Linked DNA regions of Oryctolagus cuniculus. The protein of the gene in region 2 interacts with the protein of the main gene of each other region in a pairwise test. Links are inferred from orthologs where the notes say so. Each region holds a gene or a part of one and is shown on either strand. Other genes may lie near its edges.

What was found.
Region 1: the proteins of QRICH1 (region 2) and POGZ interact in binary tests that used the Homo sapiens proteins (3 or more experiments, as listed by UniProt). The two-hybrid records come from large-scale screens. The link is inferred for Oryctolagus cuniculus from reciprocal best matches to the Homo sapiens genes QRICH1 and POGZ.
Region 3: the proteins of QRICH1 (region 2) and NFIX interact in binary tests that used the Homo sapiens proteins (3 or more experiments, as listed by UniProt). The two-hybrid records come from large-scale screens. The link is inferred for Oryctolagus cuniculus from reciprocal best matches to the Homo sapiens genes QRICH1 and NFIX.
Region 4: the proteins of QRICH1 (region 2) and HSPB8 interact in binary tests that used the Homo sapiens proteins (3 or more experiments, as listed by UniProt). The two-hybrid records come from large-scale screens. The link is inferred for Oryctolagus cuniculus from reciprocal best matches to the Homo sapiens genes QRICH1 and HSPB8.

The regions. Positions count from the first base shown.
Region 1 is NC_091438.1:46,681,041-46,684,603, reverse strand, and holds part of POGZ (pogo transposable element with ZNF domain), read right to left. Parts: intron 1,840-3,563; coding exon 1,705-1,839; intron 1,609-1,704; coding exon 1,436-1,608; intron 1,262-1,435; coding exon 1,121-1,261; intron 695-1,120; coding exon 638-694; intron 480-637; coding exon 367-479; intron 113-366; coding exon 88-112; intron 1-87. UniProt on the Homo sapiens protein: Plays a role in mitotic cell cycle progression and is involved in kinetochore assembly and mitotic sister chromatid cohesion.
Region 2 is NC_091441.1:100,112,886-100,116,448, reverse strand, and holds part of QRICH1 (transcriptional regulator QRICH1), read right to left. Parts: intron 1,514-3,563; coding exon 1,336-1,513; intron 711-1,335; coding exon 556-710; intron 1-555. UniProt on the Homo sapiens protein: Transcriptional regulator that acts as a mediator of the integrated stress response (ISR) through transcriptional control of protein homeostasis under conditions of ER stress.
Region 3 is NC_091447.1:62,511,901-62,515,463, reverse strand, and holds part of NFIX (nuclear factor 1 X-type), read right to left. Parts: intron 1,021-3,563; exon of another isoform or gene 936-1,020; coding exon of another isoform or gene 921-935; exon of another isoform or gene 745-920; coding exon 406-744; 3' UTR 1-405.
Region 4 is NC_091452.1:15,305,273-15,309,362, forward strand, and holds the start of HSPB8 (heat shock protein beta-8), read left to right. Parts: upstream 1-1,232; 5' UTR 1,233-3,287; coding exon 3,288-3,654; intron 3,655-4,090. UniProt on the Homo sapiens protein: Involved in the chaperone-assisted selective autophagy (CASA), a crucial process for protein quality control, particularly in mechanical strained cells and tissues such as muscle. Displays temperature-dependent chaperone activity.

The DNA.
Region 1 (3,563 bases), on a different chromosome or scaffold from region 2:
AAAGCTCCGTGAAAAAGGGTCCAGGTAGCGGTGGTAATAATGTAAACACACTGCCAAATGGGAAATCATGAAGTGAGAGCTTGTTACCTTGAGTGAGAGAGCCAAGTGAGTCCTACGGAGAAGGAGACAGGGAAACGTTAGCTCAGTGAGGAGAGGAGCCCTCCACAGACGAGTGCTCTGGGCCACCAACGCACACAACATGCTCTCCAGTGACCACCCTTCCCAGGCTCGTGTCAAACACCTGAGGTTAGAGACCGCTTCTCATCAGCGCACCGCGTCCACAGGCCGGGAGCGGGGCCTGACGCCCAGCTGCTGATGGCCTGTCTCTTGTTCCCCTCTCCTGACTGACCTCAGCCCCGGACTCACCCCGCGGCAGGATGCTGCTGGATCTGTGAGAGGGGTTGAACACCAAATGCTTGGCCATGGCATCTCCCACGGAGGTAACAAAGGTACAAGCAGTGCAGGCCAGCTTGATTCCACTGAGGAAGAGTCAAGAGCACAGTGAGACAGACACAATGGCGTGTCCAAAGCGAAACTTTCTCCTCTCTAATTAAGTCACGTAGCCATGCACCAAAATAATGAAGGGATTTAATGTAAAAACTTGAAAAATTAAGCATACAGGTAAGTTTTTACTTACCTCATGGAATTTTTAAACAAAGCCAAGTATTTGGGGCTCTTCCGTGGAACATGATTGCTGAGGAAGATAAAGAAGTGGTCTGAGTTATGGGGTTCGCTGGCTGACTTGACATCACCAGCCAGAGGCAACGCCTTACACAAGAGACAACACCTCCTCAGCCCCTCTCTCCCCAGGCCAGCTTTCCTTTGTACCATGCTTCTGCAACTTCAGTCTGCACATGAATTACCCAAGGATCTAGTCAAACGCACACTCTTAGACTCGACAGGCCTATGGTCGGGTTCAGACTGTGTTCCCAACAAGCTCCCAGCTAACACTGCTGGTCCCTGGTGCACACAGAGGGACCCGACCTCTCACCATGCCAGGAGAGATGGACAAACAGCTACAAAAGTTGAAGGAGGAAAACAGGCTAGGAGGAGAGGGAATGAAGTCAGTTCTATAGAATCTGAACTCCCGAAGAGAAACGCCGGCTTAATCCCAACTTACTTGATCATGTGGTTAGCGTATGCTCGGGAGCAGCAGGTGCTGTAGCGACACAGAGAGCAGTGTACGTAAGTAGGGAAATGATTGGGGAAATCTGGGATCTCAAAACTGCACTCCAGACAAGTCTGCCGGCCCATGACGCTCCTGCAAAAAGAAAAAAAGAAAGAAAAGAAAAGAAAATTCTCATTATTCCCTCAGGGATCCCCAAGTTGTCGCTTATTAAGCAGACCTTGCTGACAGGCTACATGACCGCACTGCTCCCAGCACTAGGCATGCCCACAGGCCCCACCCGCCCAGCACTGAGAAGAAGGCGCTGACATTTTCCTAACAGCTCTCTTCTGGATGTTGCGCTGGACAGGGGGATAAAGGAAGACAGGCAGAGGGTCCGTGGAGGAGGTCAGTGGGGTCGCCTCCTGCAGCGTGCTGGGAGGCGTATCGCTGGAGGACACAGGCACGGTTCGTGGCTGCCCGCGGGAAGCCCGGATGGTCACCTGAGTGTCAAAGGAAGGAACAATCAGATCCCACCCACAACCAGCCGCACAACACCGAAACTCCCGGTCTGCCTAAGAAACCCTGGCAAGCAGTACCTTGGTGCCTGGCTTCAAACCTTCCAGCTGCTTGGGTTTACGGAAGGTTTTATGGTGCTGAAGCTTGTGTTCAATTTTGTCCTTGGCAAAGAGAAACTGCAGCCGGCATTTGTTGCAGTGATAAACATTTCTCTTCTAAAGGGGGAAAAAGACAGAATCCCTTAAAGGCTCCCAATGCATTTTCTTCTAGGAGAAGGCAGGTCAATGCCAACCAATCATCTTCCCAGCTTTCTGCTGATAATGAATACCCAACGTGACAGATCCACAGAGAACCACCACATGGTTTACCCAAGAACGGAAGACCAGGCTGACTAGTCCGCAAACCCTCTCTTTTTGCCTTGGTTTAAGAATCTGGATGGGTGGCCTAGGCTTTACTGCCATTCCTGCTTTCACTTTTCATGCAGACAGTACCACCTGTTCCTGGACATTAATCTTGTTTTACATAAAAACAATAAATGTACATGGTAAAAAAAGAAAAATCACTTTTTATTCTGTATACTTGTACAACTACTTCGTGTTGTAAGTTTGCCTGCAGCTCTCACAGACCCTTTCCACAGAAACAACCTGTTGTAAGTTTGAGTATTCTGTCTGCACACATAATCATAATGAACGCATTCATATCCAACCACCACCTACCTGTTTTTCTTTTTTTAAAATGCAAATGAGATCCAGCTCCCCCTCCCCCAACACCTCAATACACACAGATGTATCTTCTTCTGAGACCACTCTCAGGATTGTCTGCCTGGTACTGAAGTCCCTCAAAGAGAAGACTCGTGCCTATGATGTTCCTTCCCAGGTTAGCAAGGATCTACAGCCTCAGGCTAAGTCACAAGTGACAGCTGCCAGGTCCCTATTAGGAAATACATTTGTGGGAGATGACCAAGCAGTCACATCTGTGCAGAGGAGAGGGTGAGCATTACGGAAGTGCTTACACGTGGCGTGTGCAAGGCTATGTGCGCATGTGTGTGACCACTAAGCACATGTGCACCTGTCTGGTTCTCCACTTTGTATCCTCTCCTATACACCTTCACTCTCCTCTAGCGGCCCCATTCTTGTAGCATTTTAAAACAAGGTCATATCTATTCCATCTTAAAACACAACAAAACATTCTCCCTTGCTGCTTCCCCTGGACCCACCGGCCTCAGTCCTCCCTTCATAAACAAACTTCTTCAGGTCAACTGTCTGTTTCCTTACCTCTTGCGTACCGGTCCTGCGGAACTGACTTTCCACAGCGACAAGCGGCTCGCTGCTGACTAAGGGCCTGCTGCCAGTCTGCGCCGCTCGGCACCTGCCACACCTTTCTCTCCAGAACATTTTCTCCTCAGCCTCGCCGACGCCAGCTTTCCCAGGGCCCTCCCAGGGCCAAGGTGCTGCCCTTTTGGACAGACTTGAGGATGCCTGCTCCTCCTACTCCTGACAAGAAGTGTAAAGCCGTCTGGATTTACAGGCCGATTCTCAGGCATCTGTTCTGGAAGATGACTCTCTCCCAGGCATCACCCATTATCAACCAGAGCTCCGAACACTGACCCTCACCACCTTCCCCCAAAGCTTGCTTTCCCCAGCGTCTTCCACCTCAGCCAACAGCCAGGTGCCCAGAAGAGAACCTCAGGTGCTATCCTCAACCACTCCTTTGCCACCTTCTCCCAACCCGTCTCTGAATGGTAAGTACCATGGATATTCTCATCATGTTTCCCATGGACTCTTTCTTCTTCATTTCAGAAGCTAACAGCCACATTCACCTTTCACCTAAACTACCGAAAAGGTTTTTGGCTGGTCTTGCAACTCCGGTCTTAATTCCCTTGAATCCATTTGCCTTAGTACTGTCAGTATGACAATCTGAATGCATCAATTCAAGAGCT
Region 2 (3,563 bases):
TAAATAAATAATTTCTTAAAAAAAGGAAAAGAAAAAAAAAAGCCAGGTACCTGGCAAAGCCCCCAGTTTCTGATTCAGTTATTCTGTTTAGGGGTCCAAGAATTTGTATTTAAAAAAAGGAAAAAATAAATAAATAAATAAATAAATGAGAACTACCTTTTATTTTTTTAAAGATTTATTTGTTTATTTATTTAATGGGGGGAGGTGTAGAGGGGGAAGAAGAAAGAGGGGCAAAGAGGAGGAGGGGAAAAAGAGGGAGAGGGAGAGCCAGGGCTGGGCCAGGCCAAAGCCAGGAACGCAATCTGGGCCTCCCAAGTGGGTGGCAGGGATTCAAGCACTTGGGCCATCATCTGCTGTTTTCCCAGGTACATGAACAGGAAGCTAAGCTAGAAGCAGAAGAGCGAGGATGTGAACCAGGCGTTGCACAATGGGATACAGGCATCCAAGCAGAGGTGTACCCTGCTGTGCCACAATACCTGCACCAGAGAACTTGCTCATTTTAACACCGAATGGGAACACAGTTCCAACCTGTTTCTGTGAAGATCAGTTTCCTACCTTCTGAATACACAGGAAAATATAGTACAGCACATCTGGGTCATAGGGTTCACCTTCTCCGTTTCTAGCTTCCCGGGTCATTAAACATAGCCCGTAATTCAATTCAGCCACAGCAGAGGAGATGAGATCTTCCTGAAACCGCAGCAACTGGCGCCCTGTAACATAAGTCCCAGAGGTGAACAGGAGGCCTGACAATAATGATCTTTTTGCTAGTTGCTCACATTCCTGAAGAAAGGGCTTAGAACAGATATTGCTCATTATGGTACTGGGACAGAAAAGATCACCAGCATCTGAGATGAGAACGAGCCTACCAAGGCAGTAATCACATATGCTCTATTACACCAAGGGTTTCCTTCCCACAATCCTCACCTCCACTTATCCCAAAAGCTATTATCAGGACCAAGAAACAAAAGCAGGACAAAACAGAATCTATCCGCTGTGATGTGTGCAAGGATATGAACTTAATGACAAAAAAAGATGGGTTTTGAGACTACTCACTGGTTCCTTTTCACTCCAAAAAGACACTCTGTCCTGGCATGGTAGGCTAACTTCAGAAAATCACAAGCACAAAAATGCCTGGCCTGGGGCACACTCGCAAATCCTGCTTGTCTGGCAGGGTCAGGCCTGCTTGTTGCTACTGTATAAATTCAGCACTTTTTCAGATAGTTCTCGAGTCCCTACAGCAAGAGGATACCACTTTCCTACTGTTCTGTCCTCATGTGACTTTAATAGCACCATTATTTTACACACAGCTCACCCCCCTCTCTCCCAAAAACTCACTCCCGATAGGTGCCAATCTGTTCTGAGCATCCTTCTCCAGCTCAGCATTCTTGGTCTGGGCCCAGTTTTTCCATACTTCAAGCCCTTCTTCTGGCTTCAAAGAATTTGGAAGTAGAAGTTCAGGGGAAGGCTGTGGCTGTGACTGTGGTTCAACTTCTGCAACCTGCACAGTTTGAGCCTATGAAGAGAAACCATCAAAACACGTCAACATTGTTTTACAGTAGTCCTTCTACAAAGAAAAAATGTTATTTATTGTTCATGTAATTAAAAACAAAGGAACATAAAACCTCTCTTCTTGCTGTCTTATTGCAACCCCAGGACAGCAAAAGCAGCACTACAACTGGGCTAGTATGACGTAGCTCAGCACTCACTGCACTTTTGAGAGGCAAAGAAAGAAGCAAAGACGGAGATCACACATCCACTGTGTATTTGCCAAATGCAGGCAATGGCCAAGACAGGGAGACAGGAATTCAATCTAGGTCTCCCATGTAGATGGCAGAACCCAATTACCTGAGTTATCACTGCTGCCTCTCAGGGTCTGCATTTGCAGAAGCCCACAGTCTGGCAACATAGCTGGGAATGGAACTCAGGAACTCCAATATGGAATGACAGCATCATAACTAGCGGGCTAAACAACCAAACCAACTACACATTTAAATCTCTTATTTAAAAACAGCAATATTTAAGTATAAACCAGAATCTCTCTCTAGGGGGAACCTAGTATTTAGTCTTTTTAAAACTCCCTAAGTAAAATGGTAAATTTAATGTTTAGTCTCCACTGCTTCTCAAAGCAGTGCATTTCAAATTTAATGTGTACACAAATCACTTGGATATGTTCCTGAAAAAATGCTGAGATTGAAAGGGTCTAAGGTGGGGTTGGCACTGTAGAGGAGACGCTAAAGCTGCCACTTGCAGTGTCATATGGGTGCCACATCTCATATGGGCGCCAATTCAAGTCCCAGCTGCTCCACTTCTGATCCAGCTCTCTGCTATGGCCTGGGAAAGCGCAGAATATGGCCCAAATCCTTGGACCCCTGCACTGGCGTGGCAGACCTGGAAGAAGCTGCAGGCTCCTGGCTCCTGATCAGCCCAACTCTGGCCACTGCTGCCATCTGGGGAGTAAACCAGCGGATGGAGGACCTCTTTCCTTCTCACTGCTTCTGCCTGTCTGTAACTCTGCCTTTCAAATAAATAAGTAAATATTGGGAAAAAAAAAAAAGTGAAGGGTTTTGGGGCCACAGCTCTGGTTTCCTTAAAAAAAGGGAGGTCTAAGGTGGGATCTGAGATCCTGTGTTTGTACCAGACTCACCTGATAAAGTCTGTGGACTACAGACTTTATCACAGGTCAAGAGCAGTGATTTTTAAATCTGGTTGCACTTTAAAATAATCTGGACTGGAGCCAGCGCTGTGGCATACCGGGTAAAGCCACAGCCTGCAGTGCCAGCATCCCATATAAGTGACAGCTAATTCACTTCTGATCCAGCTCTCTGCTATAGCCTGGGAAAGCAGTGGAAGATGGCCCAAGTCCTTGGGCCCTGAACCCATATGGGAGACACGGAAGAAGCTCCTGGCTCCGGATAGGCGCAGCTCGGGTTGTTGTGGCCAACTGCAGTGAACCAGTGGATGGAAGACCTCTCACCTCTCTCTCTCTGTGTAACTCTTTCAAATAAATAAATAAATCTTTAAAAATAAAATAAAATAATCTGGACTGTATTTAAGAAATACTAATCTCTGAGCTTTATTCCCAGAGACTGTAATTTAATTGGCTTAAGGAAATTAGTATTCAAAAAGCTTCCCAGATGATTTTTTTTTAAGCTTTATTTATTTGGAAGGCAGAGTTAGAGAGAGGCAGAGAAAGAGACAAAAGAGAGAAGTCTGAAGGCTAAGCCATGTAGACAAGGACAGATAATGTCCATGATCCTCAATCCTAATTCCCAAAGGGCTAGACAGACACCAAGTACAGAATCTTGGGTCTCACACACCTATCCTACATTCTCTGAAAATCCCTTGAGCAATCCCCGACGCCAAGACCTATACTTCCTTCACCCAAAGGGCTGAAGAATGCCAAAATTCATTCAAATGAAGGCACAGAGATGATCCACAAATTTGTATGCCAACAAATAAAAATAAAAACAAACTTATTAGCTTTAATAATATACGTTATTAAAGACATAAAAAGCAATACAGTGTTTCTGTTATTAAGTATCAACACCTAAGAAAATATTCAT
Region 3 (3,563 bases), on a different chromosome or scaffold from region 2:
CCGATGGGGGCGGAGCGAGGGCACCTACATGCAAGGCTGGGGTGGGGTGGGAGGCGACCCGGGGCCCGACTCCCCCTCCTCGCTCGTGGCAGCGGAGGTGGGGGGGGGGGGCTGTCCCAGGCTGGGCCGGGCCGTGGAGAACATTCTTTCTCCCATGGACTCTACGGAGAGCCCCGGGAACCGCCCTTGGGCTCAGAGCGGGGTGGCAGGACCACCCCTCGCCTCTGGGCTCATATAGCCAGCTCCAGGGGGCGCCCTTGCCCACCCGGGCGCCTCCCAGCCTGGATCAGCACCTGGTGTCAAGAAAGGGCCGGAGCCCAGGCCGGGAAAGGGGTGGGGTTGGAGGGGCGGAGTCTGGGGAGTTGGGGTCGGGGGGCGAGCCCACGGGTCTACACCCCATCATCCTTAGGAGCTGGTCCTCCGGACTCCTTGGGGGAGCTCCGGCCGAGCAGAGGGCGTGTGCTGGGGAGGGGTCCCCCTAGGAAGGGCGGGGGCGGGGGCCGGGCCCCTGCAGAACTGTGTGCTGGTTGCTTTGTTGGGGCTGGGGGATTGGGCTCCGTCCCCGGAGGGCCGGGGCGGGGGCGGGGAGGCAGTGCCGCCGCATCCTCGCTTCCTGTCCGCTGCGGGCAGAGTCCCGTTCGCGTGTTTCTCTCTGCTCGGCTGTTGGTGCACAGCTCCGCCGAGATCCTTCCGAGGGCTCTCCGAGGACTGGGGCTGCTTCTGGGGCCCGCGGGCGTCCCCGGGCTGGAGGAGAGAAGGGCTGAGTGGCTGACGACTCTTTAATTTTTGCTTTTCGGTGGGGCTGGGCTGGGCTGGGCTGTGGGGGATTTTTTTTTTCCATGTCTCAAAATTTCTTCTCCCCCCCTTTTGAGGAACCTCTTCATTTTGTTGTTTCTTTTTTTTTTTTTAAATCGATCTTATCAGAGGAACCAGGACTACAACGAGATCAAAAGGAAGGGGAAAAAAAAAAGGCAATATTGAGAACAGCCCAGGCAGGCTCCACCCACTCCCGCCGGCCCCCTCAAGGTCCAGGGCGCTCCAGGAGGAGGAAGCGCACCCCCCTCCTATGGGAATTCTCCCGACCCTGCCCACCCTCCCCGTGTTAGGGTCCAGCTGGCCTTCCCGTGGGCACTGTGCCCAGCGGGTGGGACCCCCGTGGCTGTCGCTGGCACAGCCCTGGGCCCTGGCCGTGTCTCCGACTGTTTGGGTTTTTGTGCGGGTCCTGGAGGGTGGGGAGAATGCTAGGCTGGGGCCTTTGTACCCAGAAGCGTTTAGGGAGTGGCGGGGTGGGGGGGGGCTGGCCTAGCTTCTTGCTACGTTTTCTTTCTGTCTCTTTGGATTAAAGGCAGAAATTCCCGTCTGTGCACCCCGCCAAAGTCCCACAGGCTGAAAGACGGGGGGGGGGAGGATGGGGAGGTGGAGGGGGCAACCACATGGCTTCAGTCCCTAGCAGCGCCAGGCTTGGGGGAGGGGCCGGAGCCCACCTCCTGCAATCTACCCTAGGCGCACCAGACGCCGGGGAAGAACCGCAGGTTCCCCGGGGTGTGTGTCTCTGTCTTCTCCCAGAACGCCAGCAGGGGGCACCACCTTCCCACAGACAGGGCTTTGTCTGGGAGCGCATACCCAGGGCAGAGGGAGAGGGGCTGGGCTGTTTGGCTCCTGCCCCACCTTGTGGCCAAAGGGTGTGTGGGGGGGTGGCTTCTCCAAGCAGGTGCACCTAGCGCTGCCCCTGAGGACGCAATGGAGACCTCTCCCTGGCCCTGAGTTGGAGGCTGACTTCCATATAGCATGCCGCAGGTACTGACTCATTCCTCCCTTGCCCCCAGGCCACACAGAAACCAGGCTCTGAGAGGGTGGGTGACCTGCCAGAGGCCACACAGCCCTCCCAGGACAGAAGCAGAACTCAAGCTCAAGCTGACAGTGAGGAATCCACAGCTGCTAACCGAGGCCGGAGGCTGTGCCTGGGGGCGACCCAGGGCTGCCACCAGGGCTGTTGGCGCTGGGGTGGGGCCTGAGGTGGCTACAGCCACACAGTGTCCTGAGAAACCGGAAAATTTCCCATCTTAAAAACACTGTCCATCAGTTTATGTCTGCAGGCGGGACCTGCCCCACTCTGGCCCCGCTGTGTGGCGGGGGTGCTGAGTTGGAGAATGGGCAGGGGCCTGGATCCCTGGGGACTTTGCTGCAATGGTGGCCACGCGCTCTGTCTGTCTGTCTGTCTGTCCAGGGCTGCTGCTAGTCCCCCAGTGGCTTCCAAGACCCTGGAAGCCGAGTAGGGTGACGGGCGGACTCCATTTTTCTGTTGTCAGTTTGACTTAAATTTGGTCGGGTGTGGCAGGTGGCCGCCACTCTGGACCGCGGTGGTGGTGGGGGATCTGGAACTGCCACAGAAAAAAGCTCTATGGCCTACCCCACAACGGGACAAGGACCACCCGCCAGACCTGCCCTCGCTTTGTGCGGTCCCCTCCAGCACCTGCCACGGGACCCAACCTCAGCCACTGACAAAGGGCAGCCGGAGAGCCAGGCCCAAGGCTTCACAGAACAGGGGGAAAGGGCCGGGGCGGCTGGATCTACTTGGGGGGCATGGCCAGGCCAGGAGCCAGCCTGGGTGAGGCGCCCCCGCCCTCCCCCAAAATCGGGCCTTGGGGTTTTCTGTGACTTGCTACCTTAGGGGAGACTACAGGGGAGCCTTGCACCATGGCTCCCACAGGTGTGGGGGGAGGCTATGGCTTTGGCTGTGACCAGGACAAATCATGGCAGGGCCCCAAGCCTGCCCCTTCAGGGTCCTCTGAGCTGCCGGGCGTGGGGACTGCGCCAGCTTGTAGAGGGGGGGCGGGCTGGCCCCCCCCAGGAGAGGAAGACCCCAGGGACAAAGGCAGCTTCAAGGGGGCTCCCCGGCACCCGCCTCGGGTCCCGGGAATGGGATCTGCTGCCAAGCCTGGAGCTGCCTTTTTTTTTTTGCTCACCCCTTCCTCCCCGCCTCCTGATTAAAACTAAGTAAAAAAGCGCTACCCAGGGAAAGACAAAATTGCTAAAATTCTCTTTTCTTCCCTCATTCTATTGTTCTCTCTCCATCTGGCGCTGGAGAGATCAGCTAAAGTCACTGGTTACTGTGGAAACCACCCCCCGACTGTAGCCCTGTGCCCGCACCGCGTCCGCCTGCCCCCCCAGGCCTGAGGGCTCCCCCCAGCCCCGGGCCCCAGACACACCTGCCTGCTTTGGGGACCTGGACCTGGGCCTGCACTCCTCTTGCCCACCTGGGCCCCCTGCCCTAGACTGGGGGGTGGGGAGGGACACAGTGGAGGTGAGAAGCTGTTTCCCCAACTTGCCTCAAACTCTGACTTGGCCCCAAAACATCCAAGTAAAAAGTGAGTGGGGGGGGGCGGGAGAGAAGGAGGTGAACGGGGAAGACTCTGCAGCCAGAGAGCCTCAGGCCCCAGCAGCCGTGGAGGCCCCGGAGGGAGGAAGGGAGGGAGGGAGGGAGGGAGGAAGGGAGGGAGCAGTGGAGCCCGCTGCCGGTGCCAGCCCAGAGCCAGGAGGGGCGGCCGCCTGCTGTCCCCTCC
Region 4 (4,090 bases), on a different chromosome or scaffold from region 2:
CAAGAGCCCCAGGAGCAGACACCGGGAAGCAGGGGAGGATCACGGGGCGGGAGCTCCATCTGGGTCTCCCATGTGGGTGCAGGGACCCAAACACTTGGGCCATCTTCCACTGCTTTCCCAGGTGCATTGGCAAGGAGCTGAATAAGGAATGGAGAAGCTGGGACTCCAACCAGTGCTCACGTGGGATGCTAAGCAGCTTCACAGGCCGTGGCTTAACCCACTGTGCCACAACACCCACCTCCCTGCGGCCTCGACATGGGGAGGGGGGTTAGGTCATCCGGTTCCCTTCCCGCTCCCTGGCCAGGCTTCCGTCTTATCTGTTCTCCTCGTTCCAGCTGTGCCTTGTTCTAGGCAGAGGGGCTTTCTGGAAGCTTCCATTGGGGCTTGCAGAAGGGAGGGGGAGGGGAAGCAGTATTTCCAGAAGACCCACCCTTCCATAAACACAGCCCTGACCCTGAACACACACTCACACTCCCACTGCTCCCACCCGAATCCACTCCCAGCCTTGCTCTATGCCAAGCCACTCCCACCCAGACCCCCCCCACTCAGAAACCGCACCCCAGTCTCGCCCAGGTCCCTGGTAGGGCTGATGACTCCCAATTCTCCCCATAACTGGCTTCAAAGTCAGCTGGCCCTGCCCAGCTGTAATTACAGAGAGAGCCGAGGCAGTGACGTCAGCCTGAAGCTGCTAGGCTGATGAGCTCACCCCGTATCAAGTGGGGGCCCAGTCACTCGGAGCGCTGCCCGCCGGCCTGGGGCTTGCCTCCCCTTCTTGTTGCGGGAGGAGGCTGGGGGTCTCCATTAGGATCCGGCAGCTCAGCGACAGAGCTGGGAGTCAGGGCGACCCAAGTCCCACTGGCCCAGGTCCTGCAGCCCCACAGCCAAGGGTAAGAGGCAAGGGTCTGCAGGGGGCATGGACCACAAGGAAGCAGGAGGGAGGGTCTGACGCAGACTCCGCAGACCCGCCCCACACCTCGCTCCCCTCAGCGGCGGGGCCAGGGAGGCAGTAAACCACGGTGATGGGTCTATGGATTGTTATTTTTAGCAAACTGCCTAAGCAGACACCGCTTAACATCCAACCGTTTCTCGACCTGTGACTCACTGAGTTTCTGAACACCCCCACCCCACGAAGAAGGCAGAGGAAAAGACCTCTGCCACCTGTTGGGGACCGATCAAAGAGGAAGAGGAACCTAAGCCCAGGGGGTTTTGTTGTTGTTTTTAAGCCCAAGGATTTTTTTTTTTTTTTTTTGACAGAGTGGACAGTGAGAGAGAGAGAGACAGAAAGAAAGGTCTTCCTTTTGCCTTTGGTTCACCCACCAATGGCCGCTGCAGCCGGCGCACCGCGCTGATCCGAAGCCAGGAGCCAGGTGCTTCTCCTGGTCTCCCATGGGGTGCAGGGCCCAAGCACTTGGGCCATCCTCCACTGCACTCCCTGGCCACAGCAGAGAGCTGGTTTGGAAGAGGGGCAACTGGGACAGAATCCGGCGCCTCGACCGGGACTAGAACCTGGTGTGCCGGCGCCGCAAGGCAGAGGATTAGCCTAGTGAGCCACGGCGCCGGCCTCCAAGGAAGGTTTGTAAATTGGTTCTTCCAGCCGCACAGGAGCCGCGGAGAAGCCTGGAAAATGCAATTCTTCCTGGGCTCAGGGCAGACGTCCTGCCTGGGCACAGAACTTTGCAATAATTGTGCAATCCTAAGGGACACTGTCATTCGATAACACGGCCTGCGGCACTTTCCTTGCCTTACAAAATGTGGGCGGAGAATCCATTGAGTTAGTATTTGCGAAGTACCTGGGACGGGGGCCGGCACAGAGCAAGCGTTGGCGTCACTGGTAACAAAACTGGAAGAACGAAAGTGCCGATGGGTGTCCTAAACGCTGGGCGAGAATCACCTGCCCCAGCCGCTCCTCGGACACATCCAGGAGCAGGCTGCTCTCGCGCCCACTTTACAGGTGGGAAAGCAGCCGGCTCACAGGTGCCGAGGGGCACGCTAATGCTTTAGACTTCAATTGCCAGGCTCATGGCTTGGCCAACCCGTAGCCACGTTCCTGAGCCTTCTTTTGGGTGCATCTGCGCAGTTTTTCGTAAAATCCGATTTCAGCAAAGAACCGCCTAAGTCAGTTAAGCAACAAGACCCACCCTTGACACCCAACCCTTTCTCCAGCCCCACCCCACCCCCTAGGTGGGATCTGATCCCAGCCTGGCCTGACTCTAAGCCAGAATCTCTCGTCCGGTTGGTTTAGCCAGAATCCCTTGGACTTAGAAGTTCCTCCCGGCAGTGTTCCACCCCCTGGCCCTCTCCTTGATCCTCCCTCTGGGATTCCGGTGTTTCCGGGGCCCTGCAATCTTTCTCCTCCACTGCACAGCATGCGGCCCCTGCACCTACCGCCAGAGCCGCCCCCCCCATAAAGTCCTCCCCACTGGAGTGCCGCTGGAATCCTAGTCTACGTAGAGATTTACACAGCTTTGTTTTGTTTTTCTTTCCCTTTGCCACTCTATTCCAAAGACAACCCAGAGCCATCCGCCTCCAAGCCCACCGGTTATCCGGCCTCCCTCTCTCCTCCCCTTCTGCAGGTGCCGACGGGGACGCCTGCAGCCACAGGCTCGGGGAAGGTATTTCCAGAGGGTGACCTGAACCCTCAGCAGGGCAGAGGGTTATTAATAGCCAGGCGGCTGAGCCCTGCCGGGGCGGGGCGGGGGAGGCAGCGGGAGGGCGGAGCCGAGCGCCGCGCCTGGGAGGAGAGAACATCCGGAGAGGCCCCTCCCAGCCTCCCCCAGCCTCCCCCGGGCCGGTGCGGAGCCCAGCTGTCCCCTAGGCGGATTCTCTGGGGCTGCTTCATCACCTCCGAATACTCCGGTGACAGGAGGCGCCTGCGGCTCCACCCCCAACCCCCAGCAGCGAATAAATAGCAGGCTCCCAGCCCAGAAGCCAGGAGAAGTTTCTAGGCGTGTGTTCCCCAGTTTATTAAGCCCCTGGCTCCACTCTCGAGCTCGGTGGTTCTGGCTGCGCGCCTGGGCAGCTTCGGGAGGACCGTGGCTTGCTGATCTCCGGGTCCCTGGTAGGGGGAATTCCACTGGGCTCAGCCAGGGAGCACCTTTCGGGGCTGGGACCCCAGCCTGGTGTGCACGAGCCGCCGTGGCCGTGGATGGTCCTGCTTCTCCCTGACTGAAGACTGGCATTTTCCTGAAGCTGAAGATAAGCCGGGAAGCCCAGCTCAGCTGCGTGACCTTGGGCAGGTGGTGCCTTCACCCTGAGCCTCGGTTTCCCCTCTGAGCTCAGTAGCCGCCATGGCTGACGGGCAGATGCCGTTCTCCTGCCACTACCCGAGCCGCCTGCGCCGAGACCCCTTCCGGGACTCGTCCCTGTCCTCCCGCCTGCTGGACGATGGCTTTGGCATGGACCCCTTCGCCGACGACCTCACCGCCTCGTGGCCGGACTGGGCGCTGCCTCGGCTCTCGTCCCCGTGGCCCGGGACCCTGAGGTCGGGCATAGTGCCCCGGGGGCCCAACGCTGCGGCCAGGTTTGGGGTGCCCGCCGAGGGCAGGAGCCCTCCACCATTCCCCGGGGAACCCTGGAAAGTGTGTGTCAATGTGCACAGCTTCAAGCCCGAGGAGCTGATGGTGAAAACCAAGGACGGCTACGTGGAGGTGTCCGGTGAGTTGGGGCTGGGGGCTTGGGGAAGCTGCGCTCGGGGCCTGTGTTTATGGAAAGTGCTCCTATCCCAGCTCCCAGGAGGACGCTCACCCTGCCCCCGCTGCCAGGGCCCAGGCCAGGGACACAGAAAGCCGCCTGGATGTTTCAACAGAGACAGTTGAATGCAGAGGCCAGGCTAGGCCGACAGAGCAGGGAGACACGGGCCCCTCACCCTGTCCTCTCGTGGGATGGGCTGGGCCGTGACACCACGGGCGGCCTCCCACGCCTGGGATGAAAGAGCCAGGCCTGGATTTCCAAAGCTTTTTCCGCAGAGTAAGCGTGTCCTTTAACTCCATTTCGCCACAAACGTGTTGATGTCGCCTTGCGTCTATAACTGGCACAGACTCCATGACTCCCCTTCATCACAGATCAGGAAACAGGGGCTCCGTGGTGACTC